3 linked regions of the Stegostoma tigrinum genome follow. The protein of the gene in region 3 interacts with the protein of the main gene of each other region in a pairwise test. Links are inferred from orthologs where the notes say so. Each region holds a gene or a part of one and is shown on either strand. Other genes may lie near its edges.

Region 1 (8,006 bases), on a different chromosome or scaffold from region 3:
AGGAAACCCACGCAGACACAAGGAGAACGTGCAAACTCCGCATAGACAGTTACCCAAGGGTGGAATCGAACCTGGGTCCCTGGCACTGTGAGACAGCAGTGCTAATGACTGAGCCACTGTGCTGTCCATCAGACTGAAAATTCTCATGTCTTCATTTCAATATTCAAAATGCAGAAATAAAAAGCTGATTTTGAATGCTACTGGATGAATATGGAGCAAAAGCAACGAAACAGAACAAAAAAGGCTGATGAGCTAAATTATGCACATATTTCGGCTGTGCTAAATAATATACCCAAAATGATGGGGAACGCCTGGTTTAGTGAGATGGAGGAATTGAAACAAAACTACATTGCCCCTTTAAAAGATAGAATAATAAATCAGAAACCTTATTTTTTTTAGCAGGTTTCTGTGAACTGGCAGATTAGTTTCACACCCAGCTGTGTTTCCTGAAGTACTTTTACTCAGGAAAAGACAATTAAGAAAACTGATACACGTATAACATACCTCTACTAACATACATCTGATTGGCAATTGCAACCTTCTTCTGCTGAAACTCCATCAAACGAATCACATTGTCAGATAACAAATATCTTTTCTCTGCAAATATAAAATTAAGACAGATTTAATTTTAATATTAAAGGGAAAACACTGCTTGTCATTACAGGTCATGTTGTATTATTAAATCTTCTCTTAATTATGGAAATTGCATTATGGAAAAAGCATTTTCTTCAATTTCCCTCTCTGCAGATGCTCCCTGACCTGCTGTCGTTTTAGCAGTTTGCTTTTAATTCAAAAATCCCATTTTTCCCTTCCTGCTTTTTACCCTGAAATTAGCATAACTGAGTCAGGTGTTCAACACTACAGTAGCTAAAAATATTTACATTTTAAATTTGAAAGGCTGGTTTCTATCTGTTTAGTGACTTTAGCCAATTATTCATTGAGTATTTTTAGAGTCACAGTAACTTAATGAAAATAGTCGTGTTGTTCCTTGAGCTGCCACTTCCTCTGATAGCAAAGTGATCATTCATGCCTGGCTTGAAGTATGCCTTTCCATCTCTTTCTGCACCGGTCCACATTTTCCTGTTACAAACTTGTTGTCCATGAGGATCCACTTCCCTTTTGTTCTGCTCCCATTTAGCTTCTGATCACCTGACTCTACCAGTTGGCCACCATGCTACCAGGCACAATAACACTTCTCTTCAAAACCATTTTCAACCTCCTCAAAATATTCTGAATTCCACCACAAGTCTCACTGCGAGATGAACAACTTCTAGGCCTAAACCACGCTCTCAGAGAAATAATTATTACAGCACAAAGCAAGGCAATTCAGCCAATCATGAATCTAACAGCTCTTGAAACAAGCAATTCACCTAATGCCATTTCCTGGCCTTCGCTCATTAGCCTGTTCATTCTTCCTTTTCAGGTAATAATCCAATTCCTTTTTGAATGCCTGAATTGAACCTGCCTCCATCCCACTTTCAGGCAGTGCATCCCAGACACTAACCACTCCCTGTATATGGATTTGGTTGCACACGTTTCTTCACCCTCAGTAACATCATCACTGCGCCTCTGGTGAAGCGTTGGTGTCTGTCCCACCTGTTATTCATATGCCTCAGTTTGCTGAGATGGTTGGCATTATTTCTGGTTCTGCTTTTCAGTGGTTTGCATCCTTATTGTTACTAACACCTGCTAGCCACCAAGAGACATGACCAATTCTCACTGGTCTCAATACACACAGACAACACATCCATAATAGCACGAGCCAAACAGAGACATGCCAGAGAATTCCTGGAGGCTTGGCATTCCAACTGGAACTCCATCAACAAATACATTGAACTGAACCCAATATACAAACCACTGAAAGACAGAACTAGGAAGTAAGCTTACGACCTCAGCAAACCGAAGCATATAAATAACAAGAGACAGTAGGAACTGCCGATGCTGGAGATAACAAGGTGTAGAGCTGGATGAACACAGCAGGCCAAGCAGCAGAGGAGCAGGAAGGCTGAAGGCTGAAACGAATTTGTGAAGAAGGGTCTTGGCCCGAAACGTCAGCTTTCCTGCTCCTCTGATGCTGTTGGCCTGCTGTGTTCATCCAGGCCTACACCTTGTTATCTCAAATTCTGCAACATCTGCAGTTATCTTTCAACGTTTAATACTTTGTTTATTTTACTCATTTCAAAAATCCTCTTCCAAGTAGCCCACTCAATATAACTGTGACGAGGGCACGCGATAAAACGCAGTCTGTGGAGAGTCTTCTCACTTTTCAAATTCCTTAATTTCTATCGGAACTTTGAAATCAGTGCAGCTTGGGATAAGTTGTTATTACAATGTTCCTACAGCTCTCCACTGCTTTCCTTTAGAGGTACTCCACAGTGGGCTGGTGCCCTGTCGTTGTGTGCACTCGTTCCCTCTCCCCAACTCTAAAGCGTAGTGGTCCCTCACTTGTCAGTCACTGTCGACAATCATATTCCATTCTCTCCTCTTCGTTAGAGCAAGCCTAAGCGGCGAGACTCCCTCAGTCATTCACGTTGGATACTCGTGTTCCACATACAGCTATTCCCCTCCCCCCTCTCTGATGGATGGTCTAGGCCCGAAACGCCAGCTTTTGGGCTCCTAAGATGCTGCTCGGCCTGCTGTGTTCATCCAGCCCCACACTTTGTCATCCCCAAGTCCCTTCGTTTCATACATATCCCCACTCATTCCTTCTCTCCTAAAGCGCCGAGCCTCACGCTTCCTCCCTCAATCATTGTGGAGGACCACGACCCTGCTCCCCTAAAGCGCTGACACTCGCTGTGGACTCTCCGTTTCCCCTAAAACCCTGCTGGTCCACTCACCACAGCGCCAACAATCACGGGCTTTATGCTGACAGTGAAGCGTGCCGCCTCTGACATTCTGAAACAGAACGCGGAGCGCCCGCGTCACAATCGCCGCCATTCCAACCGGACACTACCATCAAGCACAGGAGGGGGGGAGGAGCCAGTTTACAAATAAACCTAAGGAGCGAAATCACCACAGGCCCGGATAAATGATTTAATTTCAAAATTTTCTTTTTGCAAACGTTCAATACCTCAAAAACATGTTCTTCTGGAAACATAAACAAATCTTCGATGCATTTATTGTAAATGTTGGACGCCTCCCGGTCCAGACCAGTTTTCGTATATTCCAAAATGGCAGCCTCCTTGTTGCGGCGGAGTGCGAGGCTGATCAGAGCGAGAGGCGGTGGTGGCGCGCCAGGTAGGGAGCGCACGCACCCGGGGTGGTTGGCGGGTAGCGAGCACGCTCCCGGGATCATTGTCGGGTACTGAGGGCGCCATGGGATGCTGGCATTGTCGCGAACGCACGCCTGGAGTCGCTCGGACGCGGTGAGCGCGCGCCCCCTGAGGTCGGCGGCAGGGAGTGCGCCCGCGCCCGCGCGCCCCGTGGTCGGCGGCAGGGAGTGCGCCCGCGCGCGCGCGCCCCGAGGTCGGCGGCAGGGAGTGCGCCCGCGCCCGCGCGCCCCGAGGTCGGCGGCAGGGCGTGCGCCCGCGCCCGCGCGCCCCGAGGTCGGCGGCAGGGAGTGCGCCCGCGCCCGCGCGCCCCGAGGTCGGCGGCAGGGCGTGCGCCCGCGCCCGCGCGCCCCGAGGTCGGCGGCAGGGAGTGCGCGCGCTGAGAGAGCCGTTTGGGTTATGCAGTGATAATAGGAACCGCAGATGCTGGAGGATCCGAGATGATAAAATGTGAGGCTGGATGAACACAGCAGGCCAAGCAGCATCTCAGGAGCACAAAAGCTGACGTTTCGGGCCTAGACCCTTCATCAGAGAGGGGGATGGGGGGAGGGAACTGGAATAAATAGGGAGTGAGGGGGAGGCGGACCGAAGATGGAGAGCAAAGAAGATAGGTGGAGAGGGTGTAGGTGGGGAGGTAGGGAGGGGATAGGTCAGTCCAGGGAAGACGGACAGGTCAAGGAGGTGGGATGAGGTTAGTAGGTAGCTGGGGGTGGGAGGAAGGGATGGGTGAGAGGAAGAACCGGTTAGGGAGGCAGAGACAGGTTGGACTGGTTTTGGGATGCAGTGGGTGGAGGGGAAGAGCTGGGCTGGTTGTGTGGTGCAGTGGGGGGAGGGGATGAACTGGGCTGGTTTAGGGATGCAGTGGGGGAAGGGGAGATTTTGAAACTGGTGAAGTCCACATTGATACCATATGGCTGCAGGGTTCCCAGGCGGAATATGAGTTGCTGTTCCTGCAACCTTCGGGTGGCATCATTGTGGCAGTGCAGGAGGCCCATGATGGACATGTCATCAAGAGAATGGGAGGGGGAGTGGAAATGGTTTGCGACTGGGAGGTGCAGTTGTTTGTTGCGAACTGAGCGGAGGTGTTCTGCAAAGCGGCCTGTCGTGTTCATCCTGCTCTACACCTTGTTATCTTGGGCCGAGCGGCATGTGCAGGTTAAACCTCAGCTACCTGTGTGCGCAGTTACTGTCAAAGCTGACCAGTTTCTCCAGCGCTTCACTCCTCTTGCTCCAAGATTTACTGGCCTTTGGTATCCTGACCCAGTTTGTTCCGACAGCTTTTGTAACAGTAACTGGAAAAGTAGCAGATAAGTAAAAATAGAAGTGCTGGATGTATTCAGCAGCTCTGGCAGCACCCGTGAATAGAGGGACAGTTAACGTTTCCAATCTGTGAACTGGTTTGTGACAGTATTCCCGGCATCCTTTTAAAATTTCTGACTAACAGCGTCGGTATAATTTTGCTTCGTAATCATGAACGATCAGACTTGTTCTTTGACCTTTACGTACGGAAGACAGTCTTAGTTTGGATAACAGCTCATGTCTTTTTTAATACGTTGAACTGGTGGAATTGGCTAGGATGGCATTCTGCATTCCATATGACCCTGCAACAACATGGTAGAGCCAAACTCTCAAGAGGCAGCAGAATTGCTGTATGGATAGTAGACTTATTAAGACACAGATGAAGCATCAATAGCTTTTCCCCAATTAATGTAAAAATGCAAATTAAGCAATAACAATTTGTTTCAGTCATTTATAATTAGAGAGAGTGGGATATCACTTCAGAGTCCATGCCAGTCACTTTCTCCGATTTTCAAATTTGGGCAAGGCCCTTTGGTGCTCTGAGGTGATCTCTGCACTTGGTTAAATTAAACCTCCACATACCTGCATGAGAGCCACCACTTTATTGGAACTGCTGTAATCTAAATAGTGATTAATACATTTTGAAAAAATAACTTCTCTTGTTACCTCGCCATATTACCACTGGTGATTTTCCTCCTTATTTACAGCCTGCCTGTTGGTGACATCATCGAAACATGTGCACTGATAACACATACAACTCTTTGCAATTCATTAAATGCCTCTGTTGTCAGACTGTTTGCTCAATATTAACTCTTGGGTAAGCCACCATTTCATCCATTTAAACTTTGACAAAATGGGGGCCATTGCCTTTGTCCCCTGCCACAAACTATTTCCTCATCACCGGGGTTTCTCCGCATTAGTAAGAAGATATTTTCTAATCATCCTGTTCTTAGATGTTATTACACTCTTCTGGAGGTAGGGAGATTTGAACCTCAGCCTCCAGGCTCAGAGAGAGGAACACTACTGTTGCACCACAAAAGCCCATGCAGTAGGTTGAAAGCTGAGAATCTGCAATTTTGACATCCTACTGGCCTTTGCTGAAATCTTTATCCCAGATGACCACCCCCATATCCCTCTAATTACAGAGATTGAAGTCAGTAATTTTTCTCCAATTCATGTAGCACCTGACCTAGGATATTATTTGTACAAATAATGGAATGTTAATTTGACCTTTGGAGGAAACTGTTTAGAAGGCTTCTAAAACTCTCCCAAGGGTTACTTTCTTTTTAAAGTGTGATTTCCAGTTATTAAAATAGCTAGCCCCATTGTGGTTGCAGAAATTAGGTTAAGAGCTCAGTTTAGAACGGATTATTTGTGACTACCAAGGAATAACATGCTGAGCTCTAATACACTTTAATGTTATTGCATGACAAGACAATGATGGCAAAACGTTGTTATGTTTCTCATCTCAATGGGTGATAACTAAAGAAGTAAACTTAAAGTAGTGTGGGGCAAAATGTTACCAGTGATAATGGGAACTGCAGATGCTGGAGAATCCAAGATAATGAAATGTGAGGCTGGATGAACACAGCAGGCCCAGCAGCATCTCAGGAGCACAAAAGCTGACGTTTCGGGCCTAGACCCTTCATCAGAGAGGGGGATGGGGTGAGGGTTCTGGAATAAATAGGGAGAGAGGGGGAGGCAGACCGAAGATCTGCCTTCAGTCCGCCTCCCCCTCTCTCCCTATTTATTCCAGAACCCTCACCCCATCCCCCTCTCTGATGAAGGGTCTAGGCCCGAAACGTCAGCTTTTGTGCTCCTGAGATGCTGCTGGGCCTGCTGTGTTCATCCAGCCTCACATTTCATTATCTGGGGCAAAATGTTGTTTGTTTATGTACATTATAACTGCAGTGCACGCATGGGAACCTGATTCATAAGATTGAGTCATTTCAGAAATTTCCAACATTGCAGCTTAATTTGAAATATTAAAGCAGCAAAGCCTCTCAAAAGGAAGAACGATGCAAAATATGCTAAAATGAAAAATACCAGCTTTCCTGTTCCTCTGCTGCTGCTTGGCCTGCTGTGTTCATCCACTCTACACCTTATTATCCCATGATGCAAAACATAATCCTTTGTAATGCCACTGACCCAGTCACAGAAACTGATTTTGGTATTCTTTCAGACAGAGTTTGGATTCATCTGCTGATATGTTAATTTGAATTAGGGGCAGGCAATTGCCCCTCCAGACTGCACACCATTCAATAAAATCATGGTTTGATCTGATTATACATTCAGCTGCGCGTTCCAGCCTAACTTCAGTCTTAACAGCATCACTTGATGTCATCAGCAGAAAAGCAGCTCACTTGAGACCTATTCTAAAAACCTATAACCACAAAGGGACTTGGTGAATTTAACATTTTGTTTTGGAAAGGTGTTGTATTTGTGAAGAAATGACTGAGGATGAAATTCAGAGAAAAGATTCTGTCAACATTTAGTTGTGGGTGGATCAGTGCTGGATCAGAAAGCATAAAATTAATCTAAACGCAATGAAGTATTTTTCACAGACGTTTAAATTACCAAGGATTTTGCCTTTTACAGCAGCATGATTGGTGGTGGAGGAGAAGAGAGTTGGCAGGATGAGGATAATGACTTTATCTGTTAGTAGTATCTCACACAGAAGCCATAGATTTGATGGACTACCTACATTTCTCTCATTTGTTTTCTTATGACCATAAGGTGATGATTTATTTATATTTTTCTTCCAGTAACGAAAAGGTGTCTGCTCTCTGCAGCTTATTTAGATAATCAGAAATGGGACCAGCGAGAGAAAGACCCTCAAAATCTGGGTAAGTAGAAAACCATGAAGATATAACTTTCAACTTTTTGAAGAGTATTTCTTCTGGAAGGAAGTCTTTATATTCCTGTACAAATTTCTAAAATGACCCCCCCCCCTTATTATCATATTCCATTCATTGGGTGTTCTGTATTCAAACCCCACATTTATAGTTAATTCTTAAGTGTTAAGGTTGTCATTTAATTAGTGCAGAAACAATGAAAATCTCTGACGTTGCTTAGCTTCATTTCTCTATTGCAGGCTACAAAAAAACAGTGATATCAGGAAAGCATTTGAAAAGCAGAATAAACTAGCTTGAAACAGAGAGTAGGATAAAAGAACAAAAAAAATTGAAGGTAGGAGGAAAATAAGAAAAGTAACTGACTTTTTTAAGTAGATGCAGATATACATCCAAACATCTAGTATTATTACAGTACTTTGGAGTTCCAAATTTTTTTGAAAACAAGATTCAAGACACTCTCATCTTTTGGCTACTGCATTCTTTTGTGATATGGAATTAGGTAGTTCTTTCTCCTGATATTTTCTTTTTCTTCCCCAGTATGAACAACTGTCCATTTAAAAAACAAATCACTCAGGAGGTGATA
Region 2 (6,924 bases), on a different chromosome or scaffold from region 3:
ATGTGAGTTTATACATGCAGGAAAAAGGGGAGGGGGGTGGGGTAGGGAGTAAACAATAGGATAGAGCCTAAAGAGAAAGAAGAGCAGCTGGACAGATAAAGAGTTGATAATGATCAGGATGGGACAGTGAATAGTTATTAATGGGGACTATTAGTGACTAATAACAGGTAGTGTGTAATGGCAGGCTATGTGGTAACAAGGCCTGGTGTGAGGCGTAGGGGGCTGGGACATGGAGAGTTTAGGCCCTAAAATTATTGAACTCAATATTGAGTCTGAAGGGCTGCAGGGTCCCCAGGAAGAAAATGAGGTGTTGTTCTTCTAGCTTGCGTTGAGCTTCACTAGAACACTGCAGCAAGCCACAGACAAACATGTTGGTCAGGGAACAGGGTGGTGCATTAAAGTGGCAGGCAACAGATAGTTCAGGGTCTTTTTTGTGGGCAGAACACAACTAACATCCACTACAAACCCACTAGCATCCACATCCAGAAGATCATCAGGCACCATTTCCACCACCTCCAGGCACATATTCTCCTCCCCTCCCTTGTCTGCCTTCCACAGGGACCGATCCCTCCAGGACACCCTGGTCCACACTTCCTTCACTCCCAACACCTCACCACAGCCCTACGGCACCTTCCCCTGTAACTGGTGAAGGTGCAACACCTGTGCATTTACCTCCTCCCTCCGCAGTATCCAAGGGCCCAAACATACCTTCCAGGTGAGGCAACACCTCACCTACACTTCCCAGAATCTAGCCTACTGCATTCGGTGCTCACAATATGATCTCCTCTACATTGGGGAAATGAAGAGTACACTAGGTGACTGGTCTGTTGGTGGCTGCACTTTTCGATTATGAGAAAGGAAAAAGGCACAAAGGCTAAATGTCTGAGATGATGAGGGTAATGTAAAAGGTGCATGCTTATACCATCTGCATCTTGCAAAGAGAAGAAACTGTGGGATGTTAGGAGGATAAGTAGAAGTCTATTGTCTCCCACTAGGATTTCATCCGCTCTACTGATCATAGTCAGTCATGTAAGAGACAGTTGATAATGCTCAGTAGGATACTGTCCAAAAGGGTTCGTATATATAGGCATGCCTGAGCTCCTGTCGCCCCAAGTTGTGTGCCATCTTGTCCTGAAACAGGGAGGGAAGAATGTCATTGAGCAATTAGCAATCCTTTTATGTAATGCAGCTGACATGGGGAAACAGCTGGCTGGGTCTGCAAGCTAGGAGAAACATGTGAAGCTTGTAGTAGTGCTAAGAGTGTGATGAAGCATTTAAATATCAAGTATGGGTCTTGATTGATGGAGGTTGTTACCAAATGATTGTTTTGGGCAGTGTCTAATGCTCACGGTTGGGTATAGAATTTGAAAAAGCGTTCACATTGACTGCTACAGAGGGAATTGTACTTATTGCATGAGTCTATCCAGATTCTTGCGGCTGGACTTTTGGCAATGACCTCCACAGCTATTTACTTCCACTATTTCCTGAACACAAGTCTGGTTGGTTTTTGAGGCTTTTCTTTCACGAAATCTCTCTTACTTACCATCTTCTCAACTAAGATCTCTGGTTATTCACTCAAAAATCCTGACAATCACTTTCTTTCTCATGCTATGTTATTATTCAACGTTTTACAGGTTAGATTTATTTTCTGTAAAATATTAACAGTCTCTCTAGCTGCTGTGCTCCTCCCTTTTAAGAGGTGCAGGATAATTTTAACTAATGCTGGCCTTTCACAAAATTGGTCCCCCATTCAGGTGTTCAGCCAATTAGGATGGCTTTTAAAACAGCTGGCAGCCATAAGTTGTTATGGTGCTTATGTGACATCACGCTCATATAGGTTAATCATGCTTTGCAATGAAACCTACTGAATTTAGTACCGTCATCAATCCCAACATTAATCCTCCCTCTCCCAGAAAATACCAGAAAAAAATCTAAAATGACAAGCACAATAATATATGATATAATTTCATCAACTGAATCATTTTAAAGTGATTTTCTCAATAGCCTAGGTTTGAACTTGATATATTTCTGTTCCAGTGCTGAATTTTTGAATGGCTAGTGAACATAATTTCTCAGAATTTCATTTATGCACTTGTTGATACTAATACAGTCAAGGTAGCAGTAATAGTAACTTAATTGGAGAGATTCAAACATTGAGGAAATTTTGTAATATTTTATTAATTCATGGGATGAGTGTGTCACTAGCTAGGCCTGCATTTTTTGCCTATCGGGGAGGGCAGTTAAGAGTCAATCACATTGTTTTGGGTCTACAGTCATATGTAGGCCGGACTGGGTTAGGATGGTAGTTTCATTCCCGAAAGGACATTAGTGGCCCAGATGGTTTTTTCTGACAATCAACAACGGTTTCATGCTCATTATTAGACTCGTAATTCCAGATTTTTATTGCATTCAAATTTCACCAACTGCCATAGCAGGATTCAAACTTGGGTCCCTGAAATATTACCTGGATCTCGAGATTAACAGTCCAGTGCATGTGCCCACACTCAATAAAGTAAAACAGAAAGCCATTAAAAGAACAGTTTAATATTAACTATCAACAGATATATTTGTACAAAACTTTGCACCTTATAAATGGTAAATAAACAAAATAATTGTGAATCCTTTGTTTAATTATTTACATTCACTTGAATAAGCAAAATACTTTCGCTCATTCAAAATCCTGTTTATCTCAACACAAGTAAGCATTTCAATTTATTTTCTGTACTTTTGTTGAAACATGAAGCAGAATTAATCTTTTCATTCAGAATGCATTTTTGTGAAAACTTAAACAGCCAATTATCAGTTTATTTTGAACTGGAGGCAGCAACTGCAAACTGAAAATTAAGGGCGTAATACTTACCAGTTTGTATCATGTTGAAAGAATTTTTAAAGTTCCACAGTTGGAATAGTACTTGTACACACTGGATTATTCATACAAGAAAGCAGTTTGGGGTAACGAACGTTGATTTATCTATGCCAAAATTGCAATGGACTACTGACTGAAATCAGATTCAACCAGTACAACTATCACGACCATGGTGTTGCTGTGGAACATTCATGAGTTGAGAATCTTTAAATAGCCTGGCAGCTATTTCAGGTGCTGAAAATCCTTCCAAGTACTTGATGCACTTGTAGATCGTATGAACTTCTGTACATTATTCAAACTATTTTGATGCCCAGCAGAATGTCATAAGCCGTGCTGTATGATATTATTCAATCTAAGCTTCATAACAGGTTCAAATTTTAGCTATTTAACAATTGAAATGTCAAAAGCAAATTGCACTGATTGTGAAGAACATTCACTACAAATATGAGACTGAAATATTGCATGGCAGAAATATTGCAGCCAAATCCTTCAGTTGATATAAATTTGAAAAATACATGTTCATTTTAAAGATTAACTGAATGCATACTTCACAAATGAAATATTAATCTTCCAAGAATCTGAAATAAAGTCTCAATTGCAGTTCAAATCTTGAATGCTTTCATTGATGAAGAACCAAGAACACATACTTTGTATAAATAAACTCAGATTTCCTCTGTTGACAGTTATGTTTAAACATTTGACCATTAACTTCTAGTTAAGCAGCTGTATTAAACTACAATAGGAAGCGTTGTTTTCTCATATAAAAAACAAATATCCTTATGTAACTAAATTTAAAAAGATGATTTGCAATGTAGCCTGCAAAATCAATATTCAGTTTTGGGTCAGGTAAGTGCTTGCATACACGCTTGTTTAATTACAAGGGGACATTAGATAGATTTGCCCTTGAAATCTCAGAAGCGACCAGCAAGAAAAATGCCAGAAAGGTATAGCAATAATCTTGGAGGATTTTAACTTACCAGTTAGAGTTGAAACATCAGATGTGCAAAGCATTCTAGTTGAGCATATTCGTGGGTTAATCAGAGAATAGGCTTTACTAGACCTGATATTATGCAATGATATAGAATTAACAAATCACCTCGTGGTGTACACATCCCTAGATAACAGCAATTAGAATGTGAATTTTATATTCAGTTTGAGGAAAACAAAACTGAGTCAAAGACTAGTATTTTAAAATAAACTAAGGGCAATGATGATGGCATGAAAGCTCTGGTTGAGAGTCTTTAGAACTCCATATCACAAAGAACTGTGGGAGCAGGGCATTGGTGCATATATCATGCTGAGATAAATAGGTTCTTGATCAGTAAGGGAATCAAGGGTTATGGGGAAAGGTTGGGAAAGTAGATATGTGAAGAGTCGATCAGCCACGATCCTATCAAAAGGTGCAGCAGGTTTGAGGGGCCAAAAACGGCTTACTCCTGTTCCTATTTCTTATGGTCTGAAAGCAGAACCAAAGTGAACTAACAAATTAGGTTAGAAAGCAATAGTGTGGTCGACATTTAAGGAAATATTTCAAAATGCACAAATTATATCCATTTCAACACCAAACAAAATTCTGAGAGGAATCACCATCCATGGTTAGATAAAGAAGCTGTAATAGTATAAACCCTAAAGGAAGAGCATATACTTATGTAATAGTAGGTGGCAGATCTGAAGATTAGACAAGATATATTTTAAGAAAATGATTAAAACATTAATGGGAGGGAAGAAGTGAGAGAAAGATAGCTAGAATTATAAAAAAGGCTGCAAATTGCATAAATGTAATCTCTTGGTGGTTCAATGTACACAAATGTGTGAGAAGTTCAAATGAAAAACCAGACATCGTAATTTTGACAGATGAAGTAAGGATTTAACAAATGTGAGCCTTTCATCATCTTCCTCCTGGGACTGGGTCTACTTCACCGCAATTGTTTTGCAAATGCCAACAACCACCAGTACAATCTGTGCATCTGGCAGCAGCTCTTTGAAATTTACAACACATAGTCTGAATATAAAATGAGAGCATAAATTTTGTAGATATTTGTCCTATAGAAAACAAGTATGGAATTAATCATGGAAAAAAGATGGTCGACAAATTAAGCAGCTATTTTGCATTTGTCTTCATTTTAGATACTTGGATAAACTGCAGAATTGGGCCGGAAGGTGACAAATGGAGTTTAATACGGATAAATGTGAGGTGATTCACTTTGGGAGGAATAATTGGAAGGCAGAATATTGGATCTGTGGAAAGATTCTGGGTAGTGTGGATGTGCAGAGGGACTTTGATGTCCATCTACAAAGATCCCTGAAAGTTGCCACTCAGGTTGATAGTGCTGTTAAGAAAGCTTATGGTGTGTTTGGTTTTATTGGTAGGGGGATTGAGTTCCGGAGCCGGGATGTCATGCTGCAACTGTACAAAACGCTAGTGCGGCCTCACTTGGAATATTGCGCGCAGTTCTGGTCGCCCCATTACAGGAGGCATGTGGAAGCATTGGAAAAGGTGCAGAGGAGATTTAGCAGGATGTTGCCTGGTCTGGAGCGCAGGCCCTGTCCAGAAAGGCTGAGGGACTTGGGTATGTTCTCATTGGAGAGAAGAAGGCTAAGAGGGGATTTAATAGAGACATACAAGATGATCAGAGGATTAGTTAGGGTGGACAGTGAGAGTCTTTTTCCTAGGATGATGACTTCAGCTTGTACAAGGGGGTATAGCTAGAAATTGAGGGGTGATAGATTTAAGACAGATGTCAGAGGCCGGTTCTTTACTCAGAGAGTGGTAAGGGCGTGGAACGCCCTGCGTGCCAATGTAGTTAACTCAGCCACATTAGGGGCATTTGAACAGTCCTTGGATAAGCATATGGATGATGATGGGATAGTGTAGGGGGATGGGCTTAGAATAGTTCACAGGTCGGAGCAACATCGAGGGCCGAAGGGCCTATTCTGTGCTGTGTTGTTCTATGTTCTATGTTCTAGAGGATACTAATCTCAGAGAAGACTGTAAATCAGGAAATGGAAGGGAAGAAAGATCAAGAAAATTATAATCCCAAGGGAAGCAAATTGTTGGAATTGCAAGCTGACAAGTCTCCCAAGTCCTGATGTACTTTATCACTGGGATTTGGAAAGGCTATCTTTTATATTCTTCTATATTTTTCATTGAGGACTGAAAAGGGATAGGGTTTCTTTCAATCAGTCAGAAGTGCCAAGTGGATGATCCGTCTTGGCCTCCTCCAGTGGTCCCCAGCATCACAGATACGAGTTTTCAGCTAATTTGATCCACTCCACACGATATCAAGAAATGATTGGAAACACTGGATACTGCAAAGGCTACCGGCCTTGACAACATTCTGGCCATAGTACTGAAGATTTGTGTCCTAGAGCTTTCCACTCCCGTAGACAAGCTGTTCCAGTACAGTTACACTACTGGTATCTACTCAACAATGTGGAAAATTGCCCAAGTATGTCCTGTACACAAAAAGCAGGACAAATCCAACCCAGACAATTACCAACCCATCAGTCTACTCTCGATCGTCAGTAAAATGATGGAAGGTGTCATCAACTGTGCTGTCAAGCTGCACTGCTCAGCACTAGCGTACTCAGTGACGCCCAGTTTGGGTTCCGCCAGGGCCACTCAGCTCCTGACCTCATTACAGCCTTGGTTCAAACATGGACAAACGAGCTGAATTCCAGAGGTGAAGTCAGAATGACAGCCCTCGGCATCAAGGCTGCATTCAACTGAGTGTGCATCAAGGAGCCCTAGCAAAACTAGGATCAATGGATATCAGGGGGAAAATGTTCCGGTAGGTGGAGTCATACCTGACACATATGAAGATGGTCATGGTTGTGGGAGGTCAATTATCTCAGCTCCAAGACATCTCTGCAGGAGTTCCTCAGGGTAGTGGCTTTGCCCCAACCATCTTCAGTTGCTTCATCAATGGCCTTCTCTCCATCACAAGGTCAGAAGTGGCGATGTTTGCCGATGATTGCACAATGTTCAGCACCATTCATGATTCCTCAGATACTGAAGCAGCCCAAGTTCATGTGCAACAAGATCTGGACAATATGCA
Region 3 (7,599 bases):
TGGGTTGGATTTGAGGGGGTTAGATTCATAGGGGTGGGTTGGATTTGAGGGGGTTAGATTCATAGGGGTGGGTTGGATTTGAGGGGGTTAGATTCATAGGGGTGGGTTGGATTTGAGGGGGTTAGATTCATAGGGGTGGGTTGGATTTGAGGGGGTTAGATTCATAGGGGTGGGTTGGATTTGAGGGGGTTAGATTCATAGGGGTGGGTTGGATTTGAGGGGGTTAGATTCATAGGGGTGGGTTGGATTTGAGGGGGTTAGATTCATAGGGGTGGGTTGGATTTGAGGGGGTTAGATTCATAGGGGTGGGTTGGATTTGAGGGGGTTAGATTCATAGGGGTGGGTTGGATTTGAGGGGGTTAGATTCATAGGGGTGGGTTGGATTTGAGGGGGTTAGATTCATAGGGGTGGGTTGGATTTGAGGGGGTTAGATTCATAGGGGTGGGTTGGATTTGAGGGGGTTAGATTCATAGGGGTGGGTTGGATTTGAGGGGGTTAGATTCATAGGGGTGGGTTGGATTTGAGGGGGTTAGATTCATAGGGGTGGGTTGGATTTGAGGGGGTTAGATTCATAGGGGTGGGTTGGATTTGAGGGGGTTAGATTCATAGGGGTGGGTTGGATTTGAGGGGGTTAGATTCATAGGGGTGGGTTGGATTTGAGGGGGTTAGATTCATAGGGGTGGGTTGGATTTGAGGGGGTTAGATTCATAGGGGTGGGTTGGATTTGAGGGGGTTAGATTCATAGGGGTGGGTTGGATTTGAGGGGGTTAGATTCATAGGGGTGGGTTGGATTTGAGGGGGTTAGATTCATAGGGGTGGGTTGGATTTGAGGGGGTTAGATTCATAGGGGTGGGTTGGATTTGAGGGGGTTAGATTCATAGGGGTGGGTTGGATTTGAGGGGGTTAGATTCATAGGGGTGGGTTGGATTTGAGGGGGTTAGATTCATAGGGGTGGGTTGGATTTGAGGGGGTTAGATTCATAGGGGTGGGTTGGATTTGAGGGGGTTAGATTCATAGGGGTGGGTTGGATTTGAGGGGGTTAGATTCATAGGGGTGGGTTGGATTTGAGGGGGTTAGATTCATAGGGGTGGGTTGGATTTGAGGGGGTTAGATTCATAGGGGTGGGTTGGATTTGAGGGGGTTAGATTCATAGGGGTGGGTTGGATTTGAGGGGGTTAGATTCATAGGGGTGGGTTGGATTTGAGGGGGTTAGATTCATAGGGGTGGGTTGGATTTGAGGGGGTTAGATTCATAGGGGTGGGTTGGATTTGAGGGGGTTAGATTCATAGGGGTGGGTTGGATTTGAGGGGGTTAGATTCATAGGGGTGGGTTGGATTTGAGGGGGTTAGATTCATAGGGGTGGGTTGGATTTGAGGGGGTTAGATTCATAGGGGTGGGTTGGATTTGAGGGGGTTAGATTCATAGGGGTGGGTTGGATTTGAGGGGGTTAGATTCATAGGGGTGGGTTGGATTTGAGGGGGTTAGATTCATAGGGGTGGGTTGGATTTGAGGGGGTTAGATTCATAGGGGTGGGTTGGATTTGAGGGGGTTAGATTCATAGGGGTGGGTTGGATTTGAGGGGGTTAGATTCATAGGGGTGGGTTGGATTTGAGGGGGTTAGATTCATAGGGGTGGGTTGGATTTGAGGGGGTTAGATTCATAGGGGTGGGTTGGATTTGAGGGGGTTAGATTCATAGGGGTGGGTTGGATTTGAGGGGGTTAGATTCATAGGGGTGGGTTGGATTTGAGGGGGTTAGATTCATAGGGGTGGGTTGGATTTGAGGGGGTTAGATTCATAGGGGTGGGTTGGATTTGAGGGGGTTAGATTCATAGGGGTGGGTTGGATTTGAGGGGGTTAGATTCATAGGGGTGGGTTGGATTTGAGGGGGTTAGATTCATAGGGGTGGGTTGGATTTGAGGGGGTTAGATTCATAGGGGTGGGTTGGATTTGAGGGGGTTAGATTCATAGGGGTGGGTTGGATTTGAGGGGGTTAGATTCATAGGGGTGGGTTGGATTTGAGGGGGTTAGATTCATAGGGGTGGGTTGGATTTGAGGGGGTTAGATTCATAGGGGTGGGTTGGATTTGAGGGGGTTAGATTCATAGGGGTGGGTTGGATTTGAGGGGGTTAGATTCATAGGGGTGGGTTGGATTTGAGGGGGTTAGATTCATAGGGGTGGGTTGGATTTGAGGGGGTTAGATTCATAGGGGTGGGTTGGATTTGAGGGGGTTAGATTCATAGGGGTGGGTTGGATTTGAGGGGGTTAGATTCATAGGGGTGGGTTGGATTTGAGGGGGTTAGATTCATAGGGGTGGGTTGGATTTGAGGGGGTTAGATTCATAGGGGTGGGTTGGATTTGAGGGGGTTAGATTTATAGGGGTGGGTTGGATTTGAGGGGATTGGGTTGGATTTGAGGGGGTTAGATTTATAGGGGTGGGTTGGATTTGAGGGGGTTAGATTTATCGGGGTGGGTTGAATTTGAGGGGGTTAGATTTATAGGGGTGGGTTGGATTTGAGGGGGTTAGATTTATAGGGGTGGGTTGGATTTGAGGGGGTTAGATTTATAGGGGTGGGTTGGATTTGAGGGGATTGGGTTGGATTTGAGGGGGTTAGATTCATATGGGTGGGTTGGATTTGACGGGGTCGGGGAGCTTAGATTTATAGGGGGGATAGATTTGAGGAACACTGCTTGTCCAGACGCTTCTAAGCCTAAGGGTCGAGCTATTAGGCTTCGGCGAGGAATCCGAAAGACAAACAAAACCGGCCTCGGATCAAATTTCAAAAACGCAGCGGTCTACCAACGCACTATATATAGAAACATTTTTTTTAAGAAAAAAGCAAGTGAAGACATTTACCGCTGGCTCAGTCCTTCAGGTTCTTGTCTTGATCGTTAGGGGAAGGGGGTGCGGGGCGGCCCTGGAAGCAGACCCCGCGCCTGCAGTGCGGCGCTCGCCTGTCATCCGCCGACCCCTGCGTGCGCGCGCACGCCCGCGCTCTTCCTGTCGCAGACTTCACGCTCGCCCGGCAGCTTCCAGGCCCCGTTGTGACGTCACCCGCCCCGCGCCCGACTGCATTTGTCGTCCTCCGCCAACGATGGAGCACACGTGAAACTGATTGGCTCTCCCCCGCTGTCAATCAAAATCCGCACCTCTCCTTCCAGGGTATCCAGCCCGGGAAGACAACGCGCGTGCGCAGTTGCGCCGAAGTGTGTTGCAAACCAAAATTTCCCCGCCCCGTTGAAGTTGTTTTATTTCCCCTTCGGTAGGATTGTGTGCAATAATGAGTGTCATTATTTTACTTGTACTTATGAGATATAAAATGTGCATGTTTATGAAGGTGGATCATTACTATTTTTCACTCTGCCAAGTTCCTTGCCTTTTATTTCCAAACGATTTAGCGCTGTTGTATCCGTGCCGTAGCGATATCCCAGTGATAAATGAAGCGTACACGTTTTGCAAAATCGCACTGCTTGACCATCGATGCCGAAACCTAAATAAAAGCATACTCGTTCTGCAAAATCGTACTGCAAAGTATATTCCACTATTTTTGCATTTTTTGAAAAAAAAAGAACTTGCATTTTCACAATCACTGGTTATCGCCAAGTTCTTATACATCCCCACCAACACTGTAGACTATTAGGTACTTGTTTTGAAGTGTGGCCCGAGTCCGTTTTGAAAGTAAAAACAAAGGAATAACGTGAGCACATCCCCCGTGGGAAGTTTTGAGTTGTGATACTGGTGTACAATTGTGCAGCTTGTACAGAACATTGTTCAGTGCTTAGGAAACAGTTTCCGAATACATGGAAAAACTTTTCTGCTATGGGAATACGGTACTGGTAAAGCTACTTGTCTCAGTGTAAATGAAGAACATGATTGATGTGTATTCCTCTGGATCTTGGATCCAGTCAATTAGAAATAGTAAGAAATTTGGCATTCTTCAGAAGAGAAGAAAGCCTAATGAGATCTGAGATAATGGGAACTGCAGATGCTGGAGAATCCAAGATAATAAAGTGTGAAGCTGGATGAACACAGCAGGCCAAGCAACATCTCAGGAGCACAAAAGCTGATGGGCCCGAAACGTCAGCTTTTGTGCTCCTGAGATGCTGCTTGGCCTAATGAGATCTGTTTGGATTCTTCAAGCAGATGGAAGGCATTCAAAAAGGAATCCAAGCAAGCTGTTAACGTGGCAACAAATTCAAATATCAGACCACAAATAAAAAAAAACATTGAAAAATGTATCATAAGGGAAGTCAGGGAATCTTTTTCACCTAAAAGAAACTGGCCTGAATTTTGTGGTGGTTGGGGATGAGCATGTGTGTCTGGAACATGCCAACCAATATTTCTTTTTACAACAACACATTGCTCTCTAAAACCACTGGAGTAAATCTTTGCAATTGAATGACTGTAAGTGCTGTGAACTCCATCCATTTTCCTGTCTGCCCCAGTTGCTTTAGATAAGGGAGTTGAGGGTATTGGGGAACAGGAATGAAGTTTAGTTGAGGCCACATCTTGCGATCTTGGCAAATGACAGATCCAGCTTAAAGGGCTGAATGGCTTATTCTTGATCCTAATTCCTGTGTTCCTACTTCAGTCCACAAATTTTGGCCTATTAGGTTTATGGAAACAATTGCAAGGCAGGATCTTTGAAATAGTTGGTAAAACTGTGTTGGGTGACTATTTGATCTGTCGGAAAAATTTTGGTTTGGAGACACAATAATGAGCTGATAGATTAAAAAGAGACAGGTTTGTTAACTTTTCCTATTCCTGAATAATATTAAGTCCACACAAGTCTTTGGCACAATACGATAAAAAAACAGGAGTAAAGAATAGATGAGCTCTGTGTGATTAGATATTAACTGGACATCAGGAAAGGAAGTGAACCAGATCTGATAGCTAAATGTGAAGATTTTGCTTAATACTCAAAATGCTTGTTTTGAGATGGTACATCGAGACAGCACAGTGACTCAGTGGTTAGCACTGCTGCCTCACAGCACTAGGGGCCTGAGTTCGATTCCACCCTTGGGTGACTGTTTGGAGTTTGCACATTCTCCCTGTGTCTGCGTGAGTTTCTTCCCACAGTTCAAAGATGTGCATGCTAGATGGATTGGCCATGCTAAATTGCCCATTGTGTTTGGGGATTTGTTGATTAAGTGGGTTATGTAGGGATTGGCGGGATGCTCTGAGTTGCAGTGTGGACGTCTTGGGCTAAAGGACCTGTTTCCACACTGTAAGTATTCTATGGAGACTGACTGGAGCCTTATTTCTGTGTTAACGGTGTGAGTAAAACTGGACAGTATCTTCAGAGTGTTAGCTATTGATGCATTATTATTAAGGTGATGGAACATTGCTAGGCACCTGATTTCTGATCTACTAATGGGAACTTTAATAGTTTTTGTTTCAGATTACATTGTTCAGAATATTGCCATATTTGGGTAATTGCTTAGTTATTATTTATTTGTATTCTTTGCCTGAATGTGTTAATATTTCTATACCAGATTTAACTTATTTTTTGAACTAATATGGAAGATTTCAGGAATAAAGCCCTTCAATGACACCGTAAGATTGAAAATCCAGTATTTAAAGACAAGTTATTAAAATGGTTTATCGAAATCGGGAAAAAAGCCTTTCACACAAAAGAGCTCCATGATCTATGAATTACGGTCTGATGCTGCTTGGCCTGCTGTGTTCATCTAGTGTTACACCGTGTTATCGCAGATTCTCCAGCATTGGCAGTTCCTACTGTCTCATGATCAATGAATTGTTTGATTTTCATCATTTAAGGACTAGTTTATTATGTTTATTATGTGCGATCTTATCAAGCACTCTGTAAAAATCAAGTAAATCCCTTGATCGAAGAAGTCATACTTGCATGATGAGATATTAGTGAAATAACTCCATGCAGATGGTATCCCAACACCAAGTTGCCTTTCGTTTACACATGGAGAATTCTTGGCACTGATCCAGCTTCCTCAGAGCCAGCTCTCAGAGTGAACAGTCTGACACTTATGTTCTTAGTATCAGCCAGGGGTCCCTGATTGGACCAGGTTAACAGCCCCAATCATGGAACTCGTATTCTATGAGGTCCACCTGGTTAACCTCGGTCCAATCATTACAATTAGATCAATAAATCATTCAGCTATAAAGATCTGTTTCAGACCAAGTGTTGTAATCAGGATATTGGCATTAACTGCAGCTCCATGCTTTTGTTTTCCCTTGTGTCTCAGTTAAATTTTGAAGTGTTAATAATCATGGTGCAGACAATATGGAAAAAAAACAATGTGTCAAGGCGAGGTAGATTTTTGATGGGTACTCCGAAGCAGAGGGTGGCTTTGGTTGTTAGTGTAAAACAGATGGCATTGATTTAGGCACCCATTGTTTTTAATTCCATTGACTTACTGTATATTGAAGATGTCGTGTGATACAGTTTTAATATGAGCCAGACTTTATAAAAGACCTTAAAGAAAGGGAACACTTAGGAGGCAGCAATCATAATATGGTAGAGTTCAGTCTGCAGTTTGAAAGAGAGAAGGCAAAATTGGACGTAATGGTGTTACAGTTAAATAAAGGTAATTACAGGGGCATGAGAGAGGAATTGACGAAAATCGACTGGAAGCAGAGCTCAGCGGGGAAGACAGTAGACCAACAATGGCAGGAGTTTCTGGGTGTAATTGAGGACACAGTACAGAGGTTCATCCCAAAGAAAAGAAAGATTATCCGGGTTGGGATTAGACAGCCATGGCTGACAAAGGAAGTCAGGAAATATATCAAAGAAAAAGAGACAGCCTATAAAGTGGCCAAGAGCACTGGGAAATCAGAAGATTGGGAAGGCTACAAAAACAAACAGAGGATAACAAAGAGAGCAATAAGGAAGGAGAGGATCAAATATGAAGGTAGGCTAGCTAGTAATACTAGAAATGACAGTAAAAGCTTCTTTCAATACACAAGAAACAAACGAGTGGGAAAAGTAGATATTGGGCTGCTCCAAATTGATGCTAGAAGGCTAGTGATGGAAGATAAGGAAATAGCTGAAGAACTTAATAAGTACTTTGCGTCAGTCTTCACAGTGGAAGACATAAGTAGTATGCCAACAATTAGGGAGAGTCAGGGGGCAGAGTTGAGTACGGTAGGCATTACAAAAGAGAAAGTGCTAGAAAAGCTGAAGGGTCTAAAAATTGATAAATCTCCTGGCCCTGATGGGCTACATCCTAGAGTTCTGAGGGAGGTGGCTGAGGAAATAGCGGAGGCTTTGGTTGTGATCTTTCAAAAGTCACTGGAGTCAGGGAAAGTCCCAGATGATTGGAAAATTGCTGTTTTAACTCCCTTGTTTAAGAAGGGATTAAGGCAAAAGATGGAAAATTACAGGCTGATTAGCCGAACCTTGGTAGTTGGTAAAATTCTAGAATCCATTGTCAAAGATGAGATTTCTAAATTCCTAGAAGTGCAGGGTCAGATTAGAACAAGTCAGCATGGATTTAGTAAGGGGAGGTCGTGCCTGACAAACCTGTTAGAATTCTTTGAAGGTGTAACAAGTATGTTAGACCAGGGAAACCCAGTAGATGTTATCTATCTAGACTTCCAAAAGGCCTTTGATACGGTGCCT

The links. The genes of interacting proteins can lie anywhere in the genome.
Region 1: the proteins of trim32 (region 3) and ptcd2 interact in binary tests that used the Homo sapiens proteins (3 or more experiments, as listed by UniProt). The two-hybrid records come from large-scale screens. The link is inferred for Stegostoma tigrinum from reciprocal best matches to the Homo sapiens genes TRIM32 and PTCD2.
Region 2: the proteins of trim32 (region 3) and CAP-Gly domain-containing linker protein 4-like interact in binary tests that used the Homo sapiens proteins (3 or more experiments, as listed by UniProt). The two-hybrid records come from large-scale screens. The link is inferred for Stegostoma tigrinum from reciprocal best matches to the Homo sapiens genes TRIM32 and CLIP4.

What each region holds. Positions count from the first base shown.
Region 1 is NC_081356.1:102,211,642-102,219,647, reverse strand, and holds the start of ptcd2 (pentatricopeptide repeat-containing protein 2, mitochondrial), read right to left. Parts: upstream 3,012-8,006; 5' UTR 2,938-3,011; coding exon 2,838-2,937; intron 2,831-2,837; exon of another isoform or gene 2,446-2,830; intron 2,352-2,445; exon of another isoform or gene 2,264-2,351; intron 598-2,263; coding exon 505-597; intron 1-504. Other genes in the region: mrps27 (28S ribosomal protein S27, mitochondrial), read left to right, coding at 3,171-3,237, 7,334-7,414. UniProt on the Homo sapiens protein: Involved in mitochondrial RNA maturation and mitochondrial respiratory chain function.
Region 2 is NC_081362.1:74,187,556-74,194,479, reverse strand, and holds the start of CAP-Gly domain-containing linker protein 4-like, read right to left. Parts: upstream 3,012-6,924; 5' UTR 2,874-3,011; coding exon 2,861-2,873; intron 1-2,860.
Region 3 is NC_081382.1:14,832,237-14,839,835, forward strand, and holds the start of trim32 (E3 ubiquitin-protein ligase TRIM32), read right to left. Parts: upstream 3,021-7,599; 5' UTR 2,856-3,020; intron 1-2,855. UniProt on the Homo sapiens protein: E3 ubiquitin ligase that plays a role in various biological processes including neural stem cell differentiation, innate immunity, inflammatory resonse and autophagy.